Linked DNA regions of Arabidopsis thaliana. The protein of the gene in region 1 interacts with the protein of each later gene in a pairwise test. Each region holds a gene or a part of one and is shown on either strand. Other genes may lie near its edges.

Region 1 (10,682 bases):
ATAGATATTTTTATATTGAAATAATTTGAATCAACAACGGTTTATGTTTATTGTCCATCTTAAAAATAAAGTAGATTAAACCGCTGATAAATTAGTTCGCAGTAACCGCAACATCCATTTATAACCTATATCGTCGAATTCCACTATTGTAAACAGTAAACACCAATATCAAAATTAATGCATGAACATTAGCTGTAGAAATATATAAAAGAACTTCACTGAATCATCTATCTTTAGGAAAATAGGATTCTGTAATCATGTTTTATTATCATCATTATCTTTATACGGTACTTTTTATTTTTCTTTTGTAAAAGTGAAAGTTATAACTAAAGTTTATATAGGAAATAAACAATTTTAATTATTTGAACTCATTGAATTAATTTACTTTGTGATAAATTGACACTATATGCATCAAAACAAAGAAATATATATATATATATATATATATATTCAGATTATATAAGATTAAACTTAGTGAATCAACTAATTTTAGTGATTCGGATAATTGATAAACTATTTTTCTTTAGTATTTATATTTCTTACTTTTCACTTTTTCAAAAGAAAAGAGAGGCAAAGAAAAAAGTACCTCGTAAAGATAATGATGATAAGTACATGATTGGTATCCAATAAATCAAAAGATAAATCATGCAATTCCTTTTTTTTCAATCATGGACAATCTGTATACTTCAAAAAAGGATAATCTCAGATAGGCAATATATTGAATTTAGTCTAATATTACGAAAGACATGCATCAATCATTATACTACTAGTACTATATAATTGTCCATTAGTATGAAAATGAAAAAAAAAAATCGGTGTAAACTGTGGAAATTGATTTACAGTTTGAGGTAAGACTACTAGCTTGTCATTATATACAAGAGACGTGTTTAAAACTTCAGTCACATTCAAACCATAATACAAGTAAAGAAACAGTATATAAGAGAAATTAACTAAAAACATTTATCAACAAAGAATCATTATATTGGATTAACTAAATTCTTAATATGACACTATTTTAGGATTGCATGTGATATTTTTTTCTGAAAATAATTGCATGTGATATTAAAGTGCAAAAATCAAAATACAGATGAATATCAACGTTGTCATATATATGCAACAATTTGTGTATTTATAACATTACGATGGAGATGAAAATGCTACTTTAATTGGCAGTATATATTTTCTGTTGTTGTTGTTTATGGGTTTGAAACTCAAGTGAAGTAAGCAAAGAGGTATATGGTTGGTGCGATGACTTTGTGTGGTAGTTTGATGCAGATGATGCGAAATAGAAACGTGGACCCTATCTTTTAACAAAATTTATTAAATTATCTATTTTCATTCGATGTTGTATCCTAGGTGTAATTTTGCATATCCTTAAATTATAAATAAAACGTGTTTTAAAAAATTTACGTATGTCTTGTAGTAAATGCTTATATTTATTACCATCGGTTATTTGTTGATGGGGTTGGTTGAAAAGTAAATAATGGTGTAGTTGAATCAAACAAAACAACAGTGTACTTTTTGAATAAAAAGATTTATTCGAGTCTACTGTTTTGATCTAACATTTCGGTTATTGAATATCAAAATTTACATTTAACTTATTTCAATAGGATTAACTTTTTTATTACATTATTTCATTAGGACTAACTTTTTAATTACATTAGCTGCGTAAAGCTTGATTATATTGATAAGTATGTAGTTATATAGATGTCCAAAACATTCCCATGAGAAACCACGAAAATTCAAAGTTGCGTTGAATGATATGAATATTAAACTCTATTTGGGGTGTTAGTGTGTTACTATTTTGAAAGATTCAAACATTTGCAAATTTAATGAATTAAAGAAATGTCCGCCGGAGAAAGACTATAGTTTAATGTATTAATGGACATAAGCCAGTGTCTAAATATACGCCGGAGTATATGGTACATCCACCAAGGAGATCGGTTGGATCGGATTATGTGGAAGCATATTTTATCAAGACATTATTTATTGTTTTTAATACATAAACTCGAAGTTTAGACTTAAATCTTATATCCAAAATATGCAAAAAACCGGGTTTTCAAAATTATTACATCTTTAGAAACTTAAATTGTTTTCCATACAAAAAAATTAATAAAACTTGTAGATTGGATGACTTGATAACCACCGGAAAACAATTTCACCACTCAAAATTGAAAACTGGTGGTTACATAATTCTTTAGTTAAATTACTTAAACTTTTAAGAGTTTTAGTCAAAATATATATCCAAATGCATGCGGTTGATTGTGCTTGTAGTTGTCTAAGAAAAACATATAATAACCCCCATATTCCTGTTTATATTTCATTGTTATGATATTGGTGTTTAGTTGACAAACAAAAAAAGTTCTTTTGGTATTAGATCTCCTACAACAAAAGTCTAGATTACGTCAAGACATTTGTGTATTAATTACATATAAATTTCATGATGTCTAAAAATTGAACTCGACCAACACTATTAAGTTAAGTTATTAAATAAGAACTAGCAAGTCATTTTCTCATCTTTTACATATTGCAACAATGTGTTTGTGAAAACGCAAAATGATTGATGTACGTATACTTCGGCCATTTTTTCTTGTCGTGATGGCAGGATTTAAATTCTCCAAAATTCAATTCACTTATATATAAACGGTTTTATTTCTGATCCATCCAATTTTTGTTTTCCATTAGTAAAGCATTGAATTTCCTAAAAACTTTCACAATTAGAACATCATGGTGTAAATATTTAAGTCTAACAACACGTAATTATTGTGAAAGTAATGTGCTGCAAATGGGTTGTATTAAATAAGCTTGGAAATGGAAGAACAAAATGGTTTTACTGTATATTAAAAATACCTTGTCATAACAACTAATTTAAAATGAAGAAAATTATGATCTTGGGAAATTCCAAACAAATCCACTAAATCCCAAGACAAAAAGATCCATAGAATGCCAACTAATATTCCACAAAGTATCTAACACATTCACATTCTCCTTGAGCAACCCAACCTAAAAGTTAATCCACATTCTTTATTTTATCATTTTAACCACTCACACCAACATTGTTGGTCCATGTGCTTGCTTATATGTGTGTGCGATCTCTTTGTTCTATTTTAATGTTATTGGGTTATTCTTATGTTACTGCTGGATCTTTGACATGATGATCATTTGTATCAGCGTTGCCTCTATGTGATAATCAAAATTTAAACTAATTGTATATGTATGTGAATTGTGGGCAACGTAAAAGAAATTTATGCAATTTCCGTACTACCTAACTTGATGTTGGGAGATCGATGAGAGCGACTCAAACTGAATCATTCTCATTAATCTTCCAACACTTGATTATTATCCTCAATATAAACAATCACGTTAAGAAATTGCAAACTGTTTTCTTTTAAGAAAATTAGAAAGACGGTTTTTAAGGAGGAACTAGATTGTCAGTATTTTATTTTTTTATTTTGGCTAACAAAATAATACTTCTTTATTTATAATTAAACCATTGACTGAACTGACCGGACTATATAAGTTATGTTTTACAATGGCGCAACTATAATTTGATATGTTGTATCAACTTGTAAAATCAATCAAGTTTTGAATCCGGAGTCATCTGATTAAGGTAAAGATGTACATTTTAAGTTTTAATAGAGCAAAAATCTCAATTTTGCAATAGATAAATTGTTATAGATAAAAACAATTTTTAGGCCGAAATTCATTCATTTTGGACTTTCAGGCCAATTATAGAGTTAAATTCCAGTCCATTTTGCTGGTCCATGATTAGGTATGGACCTAAATCTCTCTTTTTTTGGCAAGCCCAGTCTAAAAAGAGAAAATACAATCCAGCCCAATTGACTAAATCTCTCTGTTTACATGACCTATTTTTGGTGACAAATTTTAACAATCTGTTTGGAGAAACAGTTCACATGGATAATTTTGTCAACAAAGAAGAAAGAATTGAGTAAATTGCTCTACTTCACACCTGTCAAAAGAGGTTAATTCACCAACTACATGTGTGACCTGATACGTGCACGTTATTATCAATATGTACGTCTAAAAAACCTTAAGAGTTTGAATATTCGTATTTCGTAACACTCTCAATATTCAAATATTATCAAAAATAAAATAAAATATTATCAATAAGATTTGTTAGTTGGGTTGGGTAATCTATCAAATACACTAATACAGCAAATCATTTCAATTTCACGACAAGTGGAAACTTTTCATTATGTCACTTTGCTTAAATCTTCACCGACCATTATGTCACTTTGCTTATATGTAAACCTTTGACTTACAATTTGGTTTTCTAATTAAAAAAACAATTAATGAAAAACTGTAATTTGACCTGACTAGTAAGTTAGTAACTCAAGACAAATAAACACCAAAAAGGAATGAAAATAAAATTTATGTATATTATTTTATTAATTTTATGATTTCATGCAAAACAGATTGTGAATGATTTGTAATCATATTTCGAAAACGTCAAAATGTGAAGAAATTACATACAATATTGTTGAGTTTTCTAATTAGGTGATACTTCAATTTTGGAATTAGTCATGTGCTAGAATTAAGTACGTGTCTACTAATCTACTAATATATCAGTTATGTGGTGTAAACTTTTAAAGCTCTATACTTTCTTAATATGTAGTATATTATCGAAGGATCAATGTTGACATTACGATGATAATGACATTTACGATTGTAATTGAATATTCTATAATGCCAAGATGTGATCATTTTCGTTTCTTACTCTTTCATAAAATTCTTTTGGTGTTTTAGGGACCTTTCAAAGAGACTGCGTTTCTAGGTCTTAGATTCGAATCTTGATGCTTGGAAATGATTAGTTCTTGATCTCAGTGATTACGAGTCCAAGACTCAAAACACTTTGGTTTAAACTTTTTTTTTTTTTTTTTTTTTACTTATATTCCATTTCCATTGTTTCTATATCTATGGAAATGAAAAATAATTCATTGATCTTTTCTATCTAAATAAAAAAATTCTCCTTCGGTTTCAAATTATTTTTTATTGTTTGTATTAGAAACAATCAATTTTTCTAACATAGTATTAGTTTTTTAAGCATTTAAAGCAAAAAAAAAAAAAACAGTTGACCAATAGGCTATATATATGTGTTGGTGGTATACAAAAAGTGAGATTTATTTGTATACCAATTCTGAAACATTTCCAAATATACCACAAGAAAAATCCTATTTCTGGAAAAAGCCCTAAAAACAGAACAGAGGAAGACGAGAAAAACAGAGAAAGAGAGAGAGAGAGAGAGAGATCGTCTTCTTCTACAACCTCTCAATAATCAAACAAAAAAACGTGTTTTTTTTTTTTTTGCGAATTCGATCTTCGATCAAGAAGATCTTGATCTCAAAATCCAAACTTTTCTTCACCATTTCATGAGAATCTCTCGCTTTCAATGGCGGATTTGTTAAGAAAAGTGAAATCGATAAAGAAGAAGCAGGATCAGAGCAATCATCAAGCTCTGATCCTTGGCAAATACGAAATGGGTAGGCTTCTTGGCCACGGAACCTTCGCTAAAGTCTATCTCGCACGAAACGCTCAATCTGGAGAAAGCGTAGCGATCAAGGTAATTGACAAAGAGAAAGTTCTCAAATCCGGTTTAATCGCACACATCAAACGCGAGATCTCGATCTTGCGCCGTGTTCGTCATCCTAACATCGTTCAGCTATTCGAAGTCATGGCGACGAAATCTAAGATCTATTTCGTAATGGAATATGTTAAAGGAGGTGAATTGTTCAACAAGGTAGCTAAAGGAAGGTTAAAAGAAGAAATGGCACGTAAATATTTTCAACAGTTGATCTCAGCCGTATCGTTTTGTCACTTCCGTGGTGTTTATCATCGAGATTTGAAACCGGAGAATCTTCTTTTAGACGAAAATGGAAACCTAAAAGTCTCTGATTTTGGTCTTAGTGCTGTTTCTGATCAGATTCGACAAGATGGGTTATTTCATACTTTTTGTGGGACCCCTGCTTACGTGGCACCGGAGGTTCTTGCTCGGAAAGGCTACGATGGAGCTAAAGTCGATATTTGGTCTTGTGGAGTGATCTTGTTTGTGTTAATGGCAGGGTTTCTTCCTTTTCATGATCGGAATGTTATGGCTATGTATAAGAAGATTTACAGAGGAGATTTTAGGTGTCCGAGATGGTTTCCGGTTGAGATTAACCGGTTATTGATTCGAATGTTGGAGACTAAACCGGAGAGACGGTTTACAATGCCGGATATTATGGAGACTAGTTGGTTCAAGAAAGGTTTTAAGCATATTAAGTTTTATGTTGAAGATGATCATCAGCTTTGTAACGTTGCTGATGATGATGAGATCGAATCGATTGAATCGGTTTCGGGGAGGTCTTCTACGGTTTCTGAACCGGAAGACTTCGAGTCTTTTGATGGGAGGAGAAGAGGTGGTTCGATGCCTAGACCGGCAAGTTTGAATGCTTTCGATCTCATTTCGTTTTCGCCAGGTTTTGATCTTTCGGGTTTGTTTGAGGATGATGGTGAAGGATCTAGGTTTGTGTCTGGTGCTCCTGTTGGTCAGATCATTTCTAAGTTGGAGGAAATCGCGAGGATTGTGAGTTTTACTGTGCGAAAGAAGGATTGTAAAGTGAGTCTTGAAGGTTCAAGAGAAGGAAGTATGAAAGGTCCATTGTCAATTGCTGCTGAGATATTTGAACTGACACCAGCTTTGGTTGTTGTTGAAGTGAAGAAGAAAGGAGGTGATAAAATGGAGTATGATGAGTTTTGTAATAAGGAGTTGAAACCTAAGTTGCAGAATTTGTCTTCCGAAAATGGCCAACGGGTTTCTGGTTCGCGTTCTTTGCCATCGTTTTTACTTTCTGATACTGATTAGGAAGATGAAAAATGAAGTTTTTGTTTCTGTTTTATTAGTTTTGTGACTCATATGTGGGGTTAACGACTTGTAATGTTCTTGTTCTTTGATGGTGTGTGAGAGACATTAGAATTTAGACCTAAAGAGAGTGGTGAGATATGAATCATTGATGTGTAGAAAACACAGATGGAATAAACAAGTTTCTTTATGAGTTTGCTTCTTTTTTTTCTTTCTTTTTCCTTCTTTTGAATTTTAATTCTGTTAGTTTGAAATATGACAGAAATTCACTTAGAACAAGATTGTGTAATTTCTGTTGGAAATTTTGTCTACTAACGTCAATTAATATGACGGTTTATGATATATAATTGAACATGTAGAGTTTACAAAAACAAAATCTTGAGAAGAAAGTTTAGCATTATAATCCAAGCCACACCATTAGCTAATCCAAATTTGTGTTGTTCTTTTAAATATGTTATATTCTAGTCATGCACCTTTAACCATAAACAATTTATTAATCCATTTATTTCTGTCACTTTTCTTTACTTCAAATCTTTGTGTAACTATTGACCCCAATTAATTAAATAAATAAATCAACAACAATCTAAGATATGTGATGATGATTGCAGCCATTATCATAAATCTCATCTTTTACACGGAGATCTAAAGAAAAACAACCAAATCCAGAAAAATATAAGATGAAAAACACATTTAATGTATCACTTCAATCTTCTCATTGTTGCTATTGTTGTTGTTTCCTTGCCATTTCCAAACAATATCTTTCAAAGAAGGCCTAAGCTCACGATCACAAAATTGCTTATACTCCATTGTATCACCTCCACTTTTCTTAAACTCAACCATATGAAAACTATTTGTCACTTCAAATATCTCAACATCAATCGCAAGATGTCCTTTTCTTCCTTCTCTCTTATCTTCCATCTTCACTCCTACATCGCTCTTCGTCAAATTGAATCTCTCACTACTTGTTGCTATCTCCTCGAATTTCGACACTATCTCTTTTGCATCTTTCTTCGTTGTAAACTTCGATTCTGATCTCTCTTCTTTCTCAAACAAACCCGAGAGATCGAATCCTTGAGACAGCGAAGAGATCAAGTCAAACGCGTTGTAAGACATCGGTTTTACGGAAAAAGCTGCGTGGACATCGCTGATCAGTGAGTCGATCTGATGACTTTCGGGAGATTTAGGCGTTTCGATCTTCTTGAAACCCTTTTGAAACCAGGAATTCTCCATGATTTTTTCAATCTTGATTCTTGAATTAGGGTTAGGGTCAAGAATCCGAGACAACAACTTCTTGACCTCGGGAGGAAACCAATTCGGACATTTGAATTCGCCTTTCGTGATTTTCCGATACATTTCCACAAGATTTTGCTCGTGAAACGGAAGAAATCCAGCCAATAGCACGTACAACACAACCCCGCAAGACCAAACATCGGCTTTAGCTCCATCATAACCTTTCTTGCCTATCACTTCAGGTGCCACGTAAGCAGGTGTTCCACATGTCGTGTGAAGCAAGCCATCTTGCTGCTTCGACTCCCTCAACGCGCTAAGGCCAAAATCCGATATTTTCAAATCGCCGTTTTCGTCTAGAAGAAGATTCTCCGGTTTGAGATCGCGGTGGTAAACTCCGCGGCTATGGCAATAATCGATTGCTCCGATCAATTGCTGGAAATATTTTCGAGCAATGTTTTCTTTAAGCTTTCCTTTAGAGACTTTATCAAAAAGCTCACCGCCTTTAACGTATTCCATAGCGAAATAGATCTTTGTCTTGCTCGCCATTACTTCATGGAGGAAGACGACGTGGGGGTGACGAACGAGACGCATCACTGATATTTCTCGTTTGATTTGATCGATTAATCCGACTTTCGCAACTTTCTGTTTGTCGATCACCTTGATCGCTACGCTTTCTCCTGTTTTTATGTTGCGTGCGTGGTACACTTTTGCGAATGTGCCTTGACCTAGAAGACGACCTAATTCATATTTTCGCATCAAAACTATGCCGTTTTTATCCATTTATTGACGCTTTTGAGGGAACAAAGGAACTTGATGAAAAAGCAGAGGATGAACTATTGATTAACTTCGTCTTGGAATGTGTTTCCCATGGCTTAGAAGAGATGGAGCTCAAATTTTGAAAATATCAATTATATTTTTTCTTCTTTTTTTTTGGGGTCTAAACCTTGCATATATCAAAATAGTAATGCTAAAAACAAATACAAGAGGAAAAGATCTTAGATTTGTGTGGTCGTGGTGATGCTTCGAGTGGGCTCTTCTAAATATAGTGGAGGCTAGTTGTTGTTAAATATTAGAATATCCCAGATTTTTGTGTGTGTATATAATAGATTTTGTAATTACAAATATATGTGGACTTCAATGCCGGTCCTGTCTGTAAATCTTAAGAATCATGATTCAAAATAAGAGTTGTCGCATAAAATGTCATGATACGAAAATAAGTGGAGGATAAATCTTGGAGTTGCAAATACAGATATGGATATGATTGTTAACATCGGCCAATTTTTACTCGGCCCGACCCACTACAAACCCAGGGAGGCAATCACTGAGGAATAAATAAATATGAAACATAGAAAAGTTGATCATGTTCATGGGGGCATCTAGAATTGTGTCATCTAGGTAGATTGCAATATATTTTTACAGTTATAAGAAGTGTTTTTGTAGGTTTTAGAGTGTTATTTTCATTTGAATGATTAGATTTGATCTCTTGCTATCTGTAGAAAAACTAGTATTCTTGGCGATTAAGATATTTTAAGTTATCAAATCGCATTGAAGAGACTCAAATCAATTTATAGAATGAATCATGTAAACATTATTCCACCATGAAGTGGTTACTTAGGTTTAATGTTATTTTAAAGTTAAAGAGCTTACTAATCGCGATCCAAACTTTAACCCTATAGTACATTTCACCACTATGAATACTTGAAATGTTGTGGAATCTTATCTCAAGTATAGAGCTTGGTTAGGTTTAATGAGTTAAGTTTGATATAAATTAAGTTAATATAGATACAGTTGAATTTTCGAAACTAGAACTCTTATTTTTACCAAATCTGCCAAGTCCATAAAAAAAAAGGATGCGTTCAATGAAAAAAAAAGGATGCTTCCAACAATTTATTTAGATACTCCACAATTTTCTTTATGAATATTCCCTACCACACAAAATAATAATGGAAAAATCTAAGAATATAAAAATCCAATGCAATCTTGGATAAAAATCTCCTAGCTGACTTGTCGAGACGAGATCATGTTGCTGCCACGTAAACACACAAATCTCAATTTCTCTCATTATTTGTCGTCTCCGTGGGGCGTGGGCCACTATTCACAGTTGTACATGCATCGAATATTACTGTATTTCGCAAAATGCCACGACGTGAATAAACTATAAAAAATAGAATAATTCAAATATATCTTCGATAAGTGATAAAATTTAAAACATCAAAATGTAACTTATAAATGATTTCTTATCCATTAACCAAAAAAAAGGTTATTTTTTATCCTTACAAACTACAATCTTATAACGAAACAATAATTATTATATAAGATTATATATAAAACTATATTTCTGCATTTAATAAAAAACAAAAGATCCATCTTATACAAAGCAAAATCTTAATTATTTATAATATAAACTAACATAACGCATTGCACCTTGCTACCATAAGTCTTCAGAAAATAAAAGTAACACACATACGGGTTATATATCCCTAGAATATATGCCAAATATATAACTTTATAATATCAAGATTGAAAACCTTGTTATTATGCAATTTTAAATATGACACGTACGTACCTATAGTATCATATCTAATATAATAAC
Region 2 (9,941 bases), on another chromosome or scaffold:
GTGGCGTTTGAGGTGGCAATGGATGTGAAGTTGTTTCGTTGTAGGAACATTGTTGAGATTGTGGGACTAAAGAGTGAGCTAGGGATTGCGCCGGTAAATTGGTTCATGCTTAGATCGATGTATATTAGCTCTGTTAATGGCTCCATGGCATTGATTGTGCCCTGCATTGAGTTTCCGGATAGAGATAAGTACCGGAGAGTAGTCGGGAAAGCGGGTGGGAGTTGGCCGGAGATTTGGTTCATCTTTAGGTCTAAATGGAACAATGGGCTAGAGACAGGCTTAAGGTTGTTGGAGAAATGGTTTGAGGCTAAAACAAGGACTTTGAGTCGAGGAAGAGTGGTGAGAAAAGGAGGGAGAGAGCCAGAGAGTTGGTTATAGCTAAGGTCAAGAGTGTGGAGATTTGAGAGAGATGAGAAAGATACGGGTATAGGACCGGTTAAACGGTTTCTTGTTAAGGAAATGACTCGAAGGAGAGGGAGGGAATCGAACCGAGGAGGGAGAGGACCGGTGACTGAACCGGGGTAGAGAATGAGTTGGGTTAAGTGGGTTAGAATGGAGATGGAAGGGGAGAGAGAGCCTGAGAGATTAGGGCCAAGAGTTAAGCCGGTGACACGGCCGCGAGAAGAGCAGGTAAGGCCAGAGAAGGAGGAACAAGGGTCAGGAACTGTGAAGTCCCAAGAGGAGAAGAAGGCTGAACCGGGCATGTCGGTTAAAGAGTCTCTGATGGATTGGAGCGCGGCTCGATCCGTAGGAGCTAATGAAGAGAAAGTGGAGTGGACAAGAGAGAGCAAAAGGAGAAAGAAAGTGTAGCTCATGTTTTTGTTTTTGAGAGTTGTTTTCTTCTCTTTGTCAATGAAGTTGGTGTGAGATTTTTAAAGAAGAGAAGAGAAGAGAAGAGAGAGCGTGAGAGAGAGTAATAATGAAGTACACAGCATGTGTGTGTGTGATAGACAGTGAGTGAATGTTAACGTTATGGATTCTTGTTCGAAAATGTGTTAGTTTATTTATTAGTGACGTCTCTTTTGACTCTTGTCGGTGTCATTGGCGGTTGTGGTCCCTTTTTGCATTCATATCTCTTCAGGAGGTAATTTAAGATTAGACATTTTTCCGTTTGTTACATTTTTTCTGAATAACAATGAACACATTACACCCTAAAAAGGTATGTAGGTGACACCATCATGGGCAAGGATACATTCCATGGTGATGACTAGAAATGTTGGATCTTAAAAATATTATTCCTTTGATCATTCAAGGCAAAATATTAAGAAATTACAGGTCGATTTTCATGCCCACAAATCTAATGTCAACCATCAATTTAAGGAAAATAGAAAAAGAACAATGGAGACACTCCAAGTCCCAACCAAAAAGAATATCAAAATATTTCATGAGACAAAAAAAAAAACAGAGAAATTTTGTTTTTATAATAAAATCCGTTCAGGCAGTTAAGTCTGAAATATCTCTGGAAGACTGATCGTACTCTGCATCTTCCTCAACGAGCGGTCGTGTATCTGCTGCTGGATCATATCCCTGAACGACGAGCACCGACGCGGTGGTGGAAAACTCTGATGACGACAACAAGCGTCCAACTGGTCCTAACTCTGGACAGTCTGTACTCTTAACCAACGATGCAACAGCTGCATTTCTTCCAACGACGAAGAGATTGCATTTACTCATCGATTTAAGTGTCGCGATGATATCGTCTTTGCTCTCAACGACTCTTTCCTCGTAAGCCAATGACTCATTTCCTCTTGGATCATTCATCAACTCCCTCACAAACTCTTCGTCAGTCTCTTTCTCTTTTTTCTCCTTTTCGTCGTGTTCACTCTTCTCGAATCTCTTCAATGTTCCTCTCGCAGCTACAAATTTGTAAACAGTTAGTGTGATTCCTGGATGTTCCACCATTTTCATCCCGTATGCGAGAGCTTCTCGGTCGTCGAGGCCTCCAAAGAATGGAATCACGACTTTGTAAGCCACTTCGCTGGCTACAACCTGTGAGGTTCCTCCGAGTCCTCTGTCCACAAGAATCCCGACTGAGCAAGGAGCTCGTTGCAAGACCCGTTGGTTCACTTCATGGAACCTATGTCCTATTGACTCCATCGCTCCGTCCATTCTCTGATGCTTGTGAAACGGAAGCAGTATCATCGCTACTCGTTTCTGATGCGCGCTTGTGCATATGTCCTCGTGGATGCTGCTGAGGCCAGAGATTGCAGTCATGGGTCTAACCGCTACTGCTCGTAGATGCTGGTAAGCCTCGAAGGCAATCACCATCTGGTCCGTTGATCTCTCGATCTTATTCCAGATTGGGAGACCATTGTTTCGAGCTTTGTGAACCATCGCGATCGCTGATGACCGTTCAGAAAGCTCCATCAGATGCATCGCGTAAACGCAGAGGCGTCCCTTTTTGCCTGTTCCTCTTGATGATTCGATCAGATTGATCAATGTGGGGATGTTACGGGTACTGTGGAAGCAAGCAAGTATCCTTAGCTCAGAATCATGATCTTTTCTTTGGATGGTTCTGTGCTTGTACGGTGCTCCTTTTCTTGCAGGCTTGTAAATAAGCATCACAATTGGAGTTGTGATGAAGGTTGTGAACAATGCCATTAGGACTAAGATCGCAAATGCTTGATCATTCAGCACCTGCTCACAAAAATCGTTATTTAGATAACTCGGCTTTTAAATGTTTTATAAGTCTTATTATGGCTTTCAAGAATCTATACCTTCCGGTCCTTGCCAATGTTAAGAACAATGAGCTCTACTAAACCTTTGGTATTCATAAGGAATCCAAGTGTCACGGCTTCTCTGAAAGGAACCTTGCAGAGCATCGAGGAACCAACTGTTCCTACAATCTTCCCGAAACAAGTGGTGAGAATGACAAGAACTAGAAGTCCCCATGACTGTGCTCCCCTGATCGTTGTTACATCAGTTTTGAGACCGCTAGCCGCAAAATACAGAGGTAGAAGAAGCCCCGAAACAAGATCCTCTATCTTCTCAGTCAAAATCCTGCAAAATGGTCCTTCTTTAGGAGCTACTATACCTACCACAAACGCCCCGAACAGCGCGTGTATCCCAATAGTGTCTGTCACAAAGCTTGCTGCTAAAACCACGGTTAGAGTGACACAAACATAGAGTTCCTTTACAGGCTCTCCCTCAGGACAGCGTCTAGCCATATAAGCAAGCAGAGGTTTGATTGCCACAACTGCAAAGATCACGAATCCAGTTCCACAGAGAAGAACCCAAACAGATACAAGAGGAGAAGTCCCATCTCCTGAGAGAGCAATAGCAAGCGCAAGGAGTATCCAAGCTGCAACATCGTTTACTCCCGCTGCAGACATTGCCATACGTCCAATGTCAGTTGTTAGAAGCTTTAGCTCAGCTAGTATACGAGCAAGCACAGGGAAGGCAGTGATTGATAAGGCAACACCCATGAAGACAATAAAAGGAAGCTGATCGACTCCTTTGCTTATGGTGGCACTGAGAACAAAAGATGTGCCTACACCCACTATAAAAGGAAGTGAGATCCCAGCTATGGCTATCAATAGTGATTTCTTTCCAGTTTTTTTTATTGCTGCAAAGTCAAGCTCAAGCCCAACTAGGAACAAGAAAAACAGAAGACCAATGTTGGCGAGTGTGTCTAAAACGGTCAAGCTCTTCTTTGGGAAGATGGTGTCAAGATAGGCCTTGCTTCTCCCTAGTGCAGAAGGTCCAAGCAGTATCCCTCCCTACAGAACCATCCCTTTTAGTCTCTTTTGCTATGTGATTTCATCAAAACAGAAAAAGAAAAATACAAAGAGATTGAGTAGGAAACTCACAATGATCTCAGCAATGACTCGGGGCTGTTTGAGAGGCTTAAGAAAGTAAGCTAAGAGCCTTGTAAACACAACCACCAAGACGATTTGTAGGATGATAAGAGGAAGCGCGAAATCAAGAGGGCTTTCGTTTTGGAAGGCTCCATTGGAGGTAGCCTTCATTGGACCCGGGCATTGCCCTGTAACGTTGGTGCTTGCCATCCTAGTGGAGATCTACTTACAGGTTGATGATTGGTCAAGAAACGAGATACTGCTTCACCCTTCAATACTGCCTTGGCTGCTCCCTCATTGCATTGCCAAACGAAGTATGAGACCTGAATGGGAGGAAAAAAAAGAAATCAAGATTTTATTCTGTTCTGTTACTGTTTTTATTAAACAGAATCTACATTAAAGAAGTGAGTATATAAAAGGAAAAAACAGAAAACTAATAACGTCTATAGTTTGCTAATAATAGGTAGATGAGATAGAAGCGGACATACCAACTCCAGGGTGGGCATATACCTCGCACTTTTCTATTTATAGACTATCAGTTACTTAACTTCCAACCATATCGCATCTATACTTCGCAGATATGAACTGCCTTCACTGCGCCGAAGTTTTCGTCTCTGTCTTTGTCCTTCTGTCCTAAATTTGCAAGCACTTGTACCTGTCTCTTAACTAAGCAGCACATTTGATGTCTTACCTTCTGAAGCTTTGTAAACATCAACCATTTTCAAATATATTATCATCGTATAGACGATATAAACATTCTTGAGATGCATAAGTAGTAAGAACAAATGAACACATTAAAAAGGAAGAAGTTAACACTGTTCCAAGCCGACTAATCTAAATTTCAATCATGGGTTCTATACAAGCAAATTTCTGAGAAGGACAAAACAAAAAAAGACTTAAAATTGGAGACCGTGTTCTATTTGCTGAAGCAGCTAAAGCCATGGTAAGTGTAAATTGCACGGTCAAAGGCCACCTTTGTGATCCCATTCTCTACGCAGGATTTTTCTATAACTTCTCCAACTTTCTTAGCCATTTCCTAATCAATTCCAAGAAGAATCAAAGTTAGACAGTGTCCAAGAGAAAAACAATTGAAGCTAAGGGTCTCATGCTAAAACTTGAAAGGTTTCGGCTAGAGAATTTTGTAGATAGATTGTAGTTGAATTCAAAGCAGGTGGTAGTGAAGAACTCACAATGGTAGAACCAGTGAGCAAAAGATACAGAGCCTTGGCCATGGTCTGAGAATTGAAGGAGCTTTAAGCCACCGTACTGAATTGGAATCGGCGTCGAGGCTGTTCTCAGCGAGCTCAGACGCTGGATTACATCACCCTCTATATTTTGTAGGTTTCGAATCTTCGGTGGCTCTCTCGGTTCAATCGCCGCAGTCGGAGAGGAGAGTCTTCCTCCTCCATCTCCACCGCAAGAAGCGACCGTCGATCATCTCCCCCGCCATATACAAATGAGAATCACTAAAAAGTTTTTAACTACAGTTGGGCTAAAAGCCCAATAATAAAGCCCATAAATGAAACGACATCACAGTCATATAAATAAGAGTTCAAAAAGATGAATAATTCCGGGAAATTTTTAGAGGGCAGAGTTGTGTTTCGGCCCAGCTTGAGTTAGGGTTCCTGTGGGGAAACATGAGAGCTTTTTACTGAAGTTTCAAACCTAACTAATTTGTGTTACATCGATCCTTGTTCAAATTTGAAAGATTTGAAGATGATGTCCGATCTTCCAAGAGATTTGTTGGAGGAGAGACTCTCTAGGGTTCCGGTGAAATCATTGAGAGAAGCGCGATTTACCTGCAAAAATTGGAAAACATTATCCAAAAAGCGGAGCTTTACAAAGAAGCACCTTGCTCAGGAAGCAACATCAAGGGAAAGTGAGTTTAAGGTTGTCATGGTCTTGCATTGTAAGGTTTATCTAACGAGCATCAACCTCCGTGGAATTCACAACGGCTTTGACCCGTCTATAAACCGTCAAGCTAAACTTGTTAGCCTAAACGGTACAGATCAGATCGATATATCTGAAGTATATCACTGCGACGGTTTACTGTTATGTATCTCGAAAGACTACACTAGGGTCGTGGTTTGGAATCCGTATAGGAGCCAAACTTTGTGGCTCAAACCCAGTAGTCCTGACCATAGAATGGACTGGTATATCTGTGCTATAGGATACGAGAAGCGTAAATCAAGCCTACGCTACAAAGTTTTGCGATTCGTTGATTTTGCCGAAGAAGAATTTGTTGAGTACGAAATATACGAGTTAAAGTCTAATTCATGGAGGGTTCTCGATGTCACTTCCGACTGGGAAGTAGAGTTTTATGCACGAGGTGTCTCTCTCAAGGGAAATACTTATTGGTTTGCTACAGACAAGTTTCCAGAAATCAGCAGTAATCTTATACATAGTGTTTATTTCTTGCTCTGTTTTAATTTTACATCGGAGAGATTTGGGCCGCGTCTTCATTTGCCGTGTTACCCTATGGATGTAGATACTGTGAGTCTTTCTAGTGTTAGAGAAGAGCAACTTGCTGTGTTATTTCAGCGTAAGGACAACTTACATATGGAGATTTGGGTTACGACTAAGATTGAACCTGAAGAGGTGATGTGGAGCAAGTTGTTCTTAGCAGTGGATATGCAACCACTCACTGATTTTAAGTTTGGAATTGCAGATGCGAGTTTCATCATTGACGAAGAGAAGAAAGTTGTTGTAGTCTTTGCTAAAGACAAAGATGTAATGTATCCCACTCACAACACAGCTTACATCATTGGAGAGGATGGATATTACAAAGAAGTGGATCTCGGAAAAACTACTGATAAAATTCGAGATCCACTTGTGTGCTCGTATGTTCCAAGCTCAGCGCAAATCAAGCAAGGAGGCAAAAGGAAGAAAAAAGGGAAATTGATTACTGATTAACATTTATATCTTGCTTTGTGATCTTCTTCTTTCAACAAAATTTGGTTTGAAATAGGATAAAATTTTGTTAAAATCGAAAGTCTGTGAAACTGTAAGTTTGGTGTGAAGATACTATATTATCTGAATCACTCGCTACTTTCAGCAATCTAATCAAAGGACCAGTTCACGTAGAACCAAATCTTCAACAACAAAAGAGAAGACAAATTGAAGAAACAGATCGAAAAACACGACCACTAACTCTGCTATTCATAAGCTAATGCAATGAATGATTCAACAAAGCTTCATTCACAATCCTTCCTCAGCTTTAAGAATGCGCTCCCGAGATCAACTAAACCTCTCTACTCTTCGACGGCGCAGCTCATCTAAAGGGAGATCATTAGAAGAAGAAAGTGCTGGTCCCTGATTCAGTGACCATCCATTTCCTCTAGCCCGTCCCGAGCCACACATCTCGCAAGCACTTAACCAACCAGAATTGTCATATGTACACGACTGACATCTCCAAATACCAGGTCCTGCTATCCCAGTCTGACCTCTTCCCACTCTTCCTCTCCCCGTAATCCTCCTTCTCCGAGACCTAACCATACCATTCAGAAACCTCAAGGGCCACGTCACCAATCGAGATACACCTCTAACCGCCATAGTGACTGGATCTGAGCCTGAGTAAGAACCTTTCAGCTTCAAATAGATAATACCAGCAAGGATTCCACCCAAATGCCCAAGAAACGAAGCGTTAGGTACAAACATCTGCACTAGAATCAATTCTGCCCAAGCAGCATACTTTGTTGGAACCAAGATACCATACACACTTGAGTAATCCTCAGCTTGAGAATTAAGAACAACTTTCATAGCAAAGAGAACACCCGAGAACCCAACCGCATACTCGTTGTAGTAAGCTCTGTCATAGTCAAACAAGAGAAGAAGCGATTTGGCTAACAACAATGTGACTCCTTGAGACATACCAATAAGAGTAAAGACCATTGAAGCAAACTCACTGCTTCCCATTGATGTCTCAAGCTTGATACCTTTCCAGAGAAGTGACATCATGTTATAGACTAAGTGAGGCTCGTTAACATGGTAGAACGCTGATAGAAATAAACGCTTCAAGTCCTTATGCTGTTCAACAAATACACATCAAGATTAAAAAAAAAAACTTTAACAGAGAATAGAATTAATCAATCAAGAATGATCTAATTAGATATCGAAGAACAAAATCCCTAATTCTCCAGATATTGGTACAAATTTCCCAGGAAACTCAAATTCGAATTTCAGATCGAAATCGGTCAAATTGCAATCAATTTCTCTTGGCGAATGAAGGAATTTATTAAGATTGGTTTACCTTGAAGATGAGGTGAGGATTGAACCAGACCTCACTGATGTGAGGAATAACGGGATCGATAAACGCCGGCCTGAGATAAACGAGAGTGTTCGCGGCCAGGAGACTCGCCGTCACCGGTGGTTTCCACGGTAGTCTATAGTACTCCGCGACGGCGCTTAGAGCCAGCAACGGCAACATTCCGCCTCCACTTCTTCTCCCTTCACCAAAATTCTCCATTTCTTCGTAATTATTCTTTTCTTCTGATCTCTCTGAATCACTTACAAGTAATTAAAATCTCATCTCTTTCACAATATTTATATAGCAGCAGCTTGGTCTCTACGAAAACAAATTCTCCAGAGACTTCTTCGTTTCACTCGCATAAGAACATGTGGGACCCACCACGGCATTTTAGAACTCTAGTTTTTATACCTAATCTCTTCTTGCCTTTTTTCGTTTTTTTTTACTTTATTTTGCAAATCTGAATGACAATGATGCTCAAAGTGAATGTTATTCGAACAAAAAGTGTATACAAACCAAAACCAAAAAAGAAAGAAAGATAATCATACAACACTGAACAATGGATTAAAGGGTAAATATTTAGTGATTGTCATCAGTTTTAGGCCTTGTGTTAATAAGCATTTTACGAAGCATTGTGTTCTCGTTCGTCAAAGTAGAAATCTTCTCTTCGAGCTGGTCATTGTTGTTCTGTAACTCATTAGCTCTTGATTCCAAATCACTCACATACACTTTCTTCCTCTCTCTTGCTTGTTGCGCTGATACTCTGTTCCTCAATAATCTGTAATTTTTCACCACAGTTTCTTTTTTACCATTTCAATTCCACAAATCGAATGCTAAGAAAAAAAAGTTTTTTTACTCATCATTGATTACCTCTTGAGGCTTCTATATTCTTTATCAACAGGGTTTCTTCCACGGCGGCGTTTAGCTGTAGAGACTCCATTTTGAGTCTGGTCAAGCTCCGGATTGTTGACTCCATCGTCGGCGCTGCTGCTTAGAACACATGTTGATCCAGCTGCTTCCATGTCAGGAACCATCAACAACTCCTCATCACTTTCCTCTGAGAATTATACAAACCAATTTCTCTAAACCAAATTAAGTTAAATATTAGATAAGTTTCTTTCAACACCTACCAGTTTTGTGCTTCTTGTGGGAAGAAGACGAACTCGAGTTCCCATTGGGTCGTTGGAGAGACATCAATATCTTTTTGTCTTTTGAGATTTTGCTAAAGACGAGAATAGAGAGGTAAGAGGTTGAAGAGAATATCAAACCAAAGGAAATTGCATCTTTTCTTTCTTCTTTGGGGCCACTCAAAGTCTGCAACTCGTTTCAAACAAAAAAAAAGAGAAAAGTATTGGTTGGCTTATAAAAGAACACGTAGGTTTATGTAAGACCACAAATGCAACTGTTTCAATCCAATGGTGTGTATCTGTGTTTTCTTTTCCACTATATCCCGTTGAACTTATTAATTGATTTATTGTTCTGTTTTGCTTTTAAAGTCTTTGTTCATGATTTCTACGGAAAACAACCTTTAGTGAGTATTCACAGAGCGTGTGGGTTTAGGACAATAATTACTGTCTAGAACCATACAAACGTACTTGCAGACAAAGTCAGAGGCACAACTATGTGTGTGTGTATCTATTTGCATGGCGTAATAGGCATGCATAAACTCATCATGTGGTCATATATCTCGTTTTCTATTTTTTGGTACACAAATAACTCTTTTGTATAAAGACAGCTAACTAATGTTTTGAATTTTTAAATGTTATCTCTTAAAATTAAATTCTACCAATTGTAAATTCAGTCAATCATTCCGAAGCATTTTTTCATGCTTTGTGATTCCGCCATATATTTTCCCATGTTCTTTTTTACGTTTTTCATCATAATTTTAAAGTTTTACG

Evidence for each region.
Region 2: the proteins of CIPK19 (region 1) and AT3G17620 interact in a protein complementation assay, tested with the Arabidopsis thaliana proteins (one large-scale study listed by BioGRID).

What each region holds. Positions count from the first base shown.
Region 1 is NC_003076.8:18,579,532-18,590,213, forward strand, and holds CIPK19 (CBL-interacting protein kinase 19), read left to right. Parts: upstream 1-5,144; 5' UTR 5,145-5,410; coding exon 5,411-6,862; 3' UTR 6,863-7,059; downstream 7,060-10,682. Other genes in the region: CIPK20 (CBL-interacting protein kinase 20), read right to left, coding at 7,550-8,869; DOG1 (delay of germination 1), read right to left, coding at 10,138-10,211. UniProt on the Arabidopsis thaliana protein: CIPK serine-threonine protein kinases interact with CBL proteins. Binding of a CBL protein to the regulatory NAF domain of CIPK protein lead to the activation of the kinase in a calcium-dependent manner.
Region 2 is NC_003074.8:6,023,267-6,033,207, reverse strand, and holds AT3G17620 (F-box and associated interaction domains-containing protein), read left to right. Parts: upstream 1-5,513; coding exon 5,514-6,710; 3' UTR 6,711-6,762; downstream 6,763-9,941. Other genes in the region: AT3G17640 (Leucine-rich repeat (LRR) family protein), read right to left, coding at 1-815; CHX19 (cation/H+ exchanger 19), read right to left, coding at 1,435-2,637, 2,718-3,719, 3,810-4,007; AT3G17626 (structural constituent of ribosome), read right to left, coding at 4,714-4,833, 4,988-5,029; RBL14 (RHOMBOID-like protein 14), read right to left, coding at 7,035-7,823, 8,047-8,262; HYH (HY5-homolog), read right to left, coding at 8,623-8,821, 8,914-9,100, 9,174-9,237.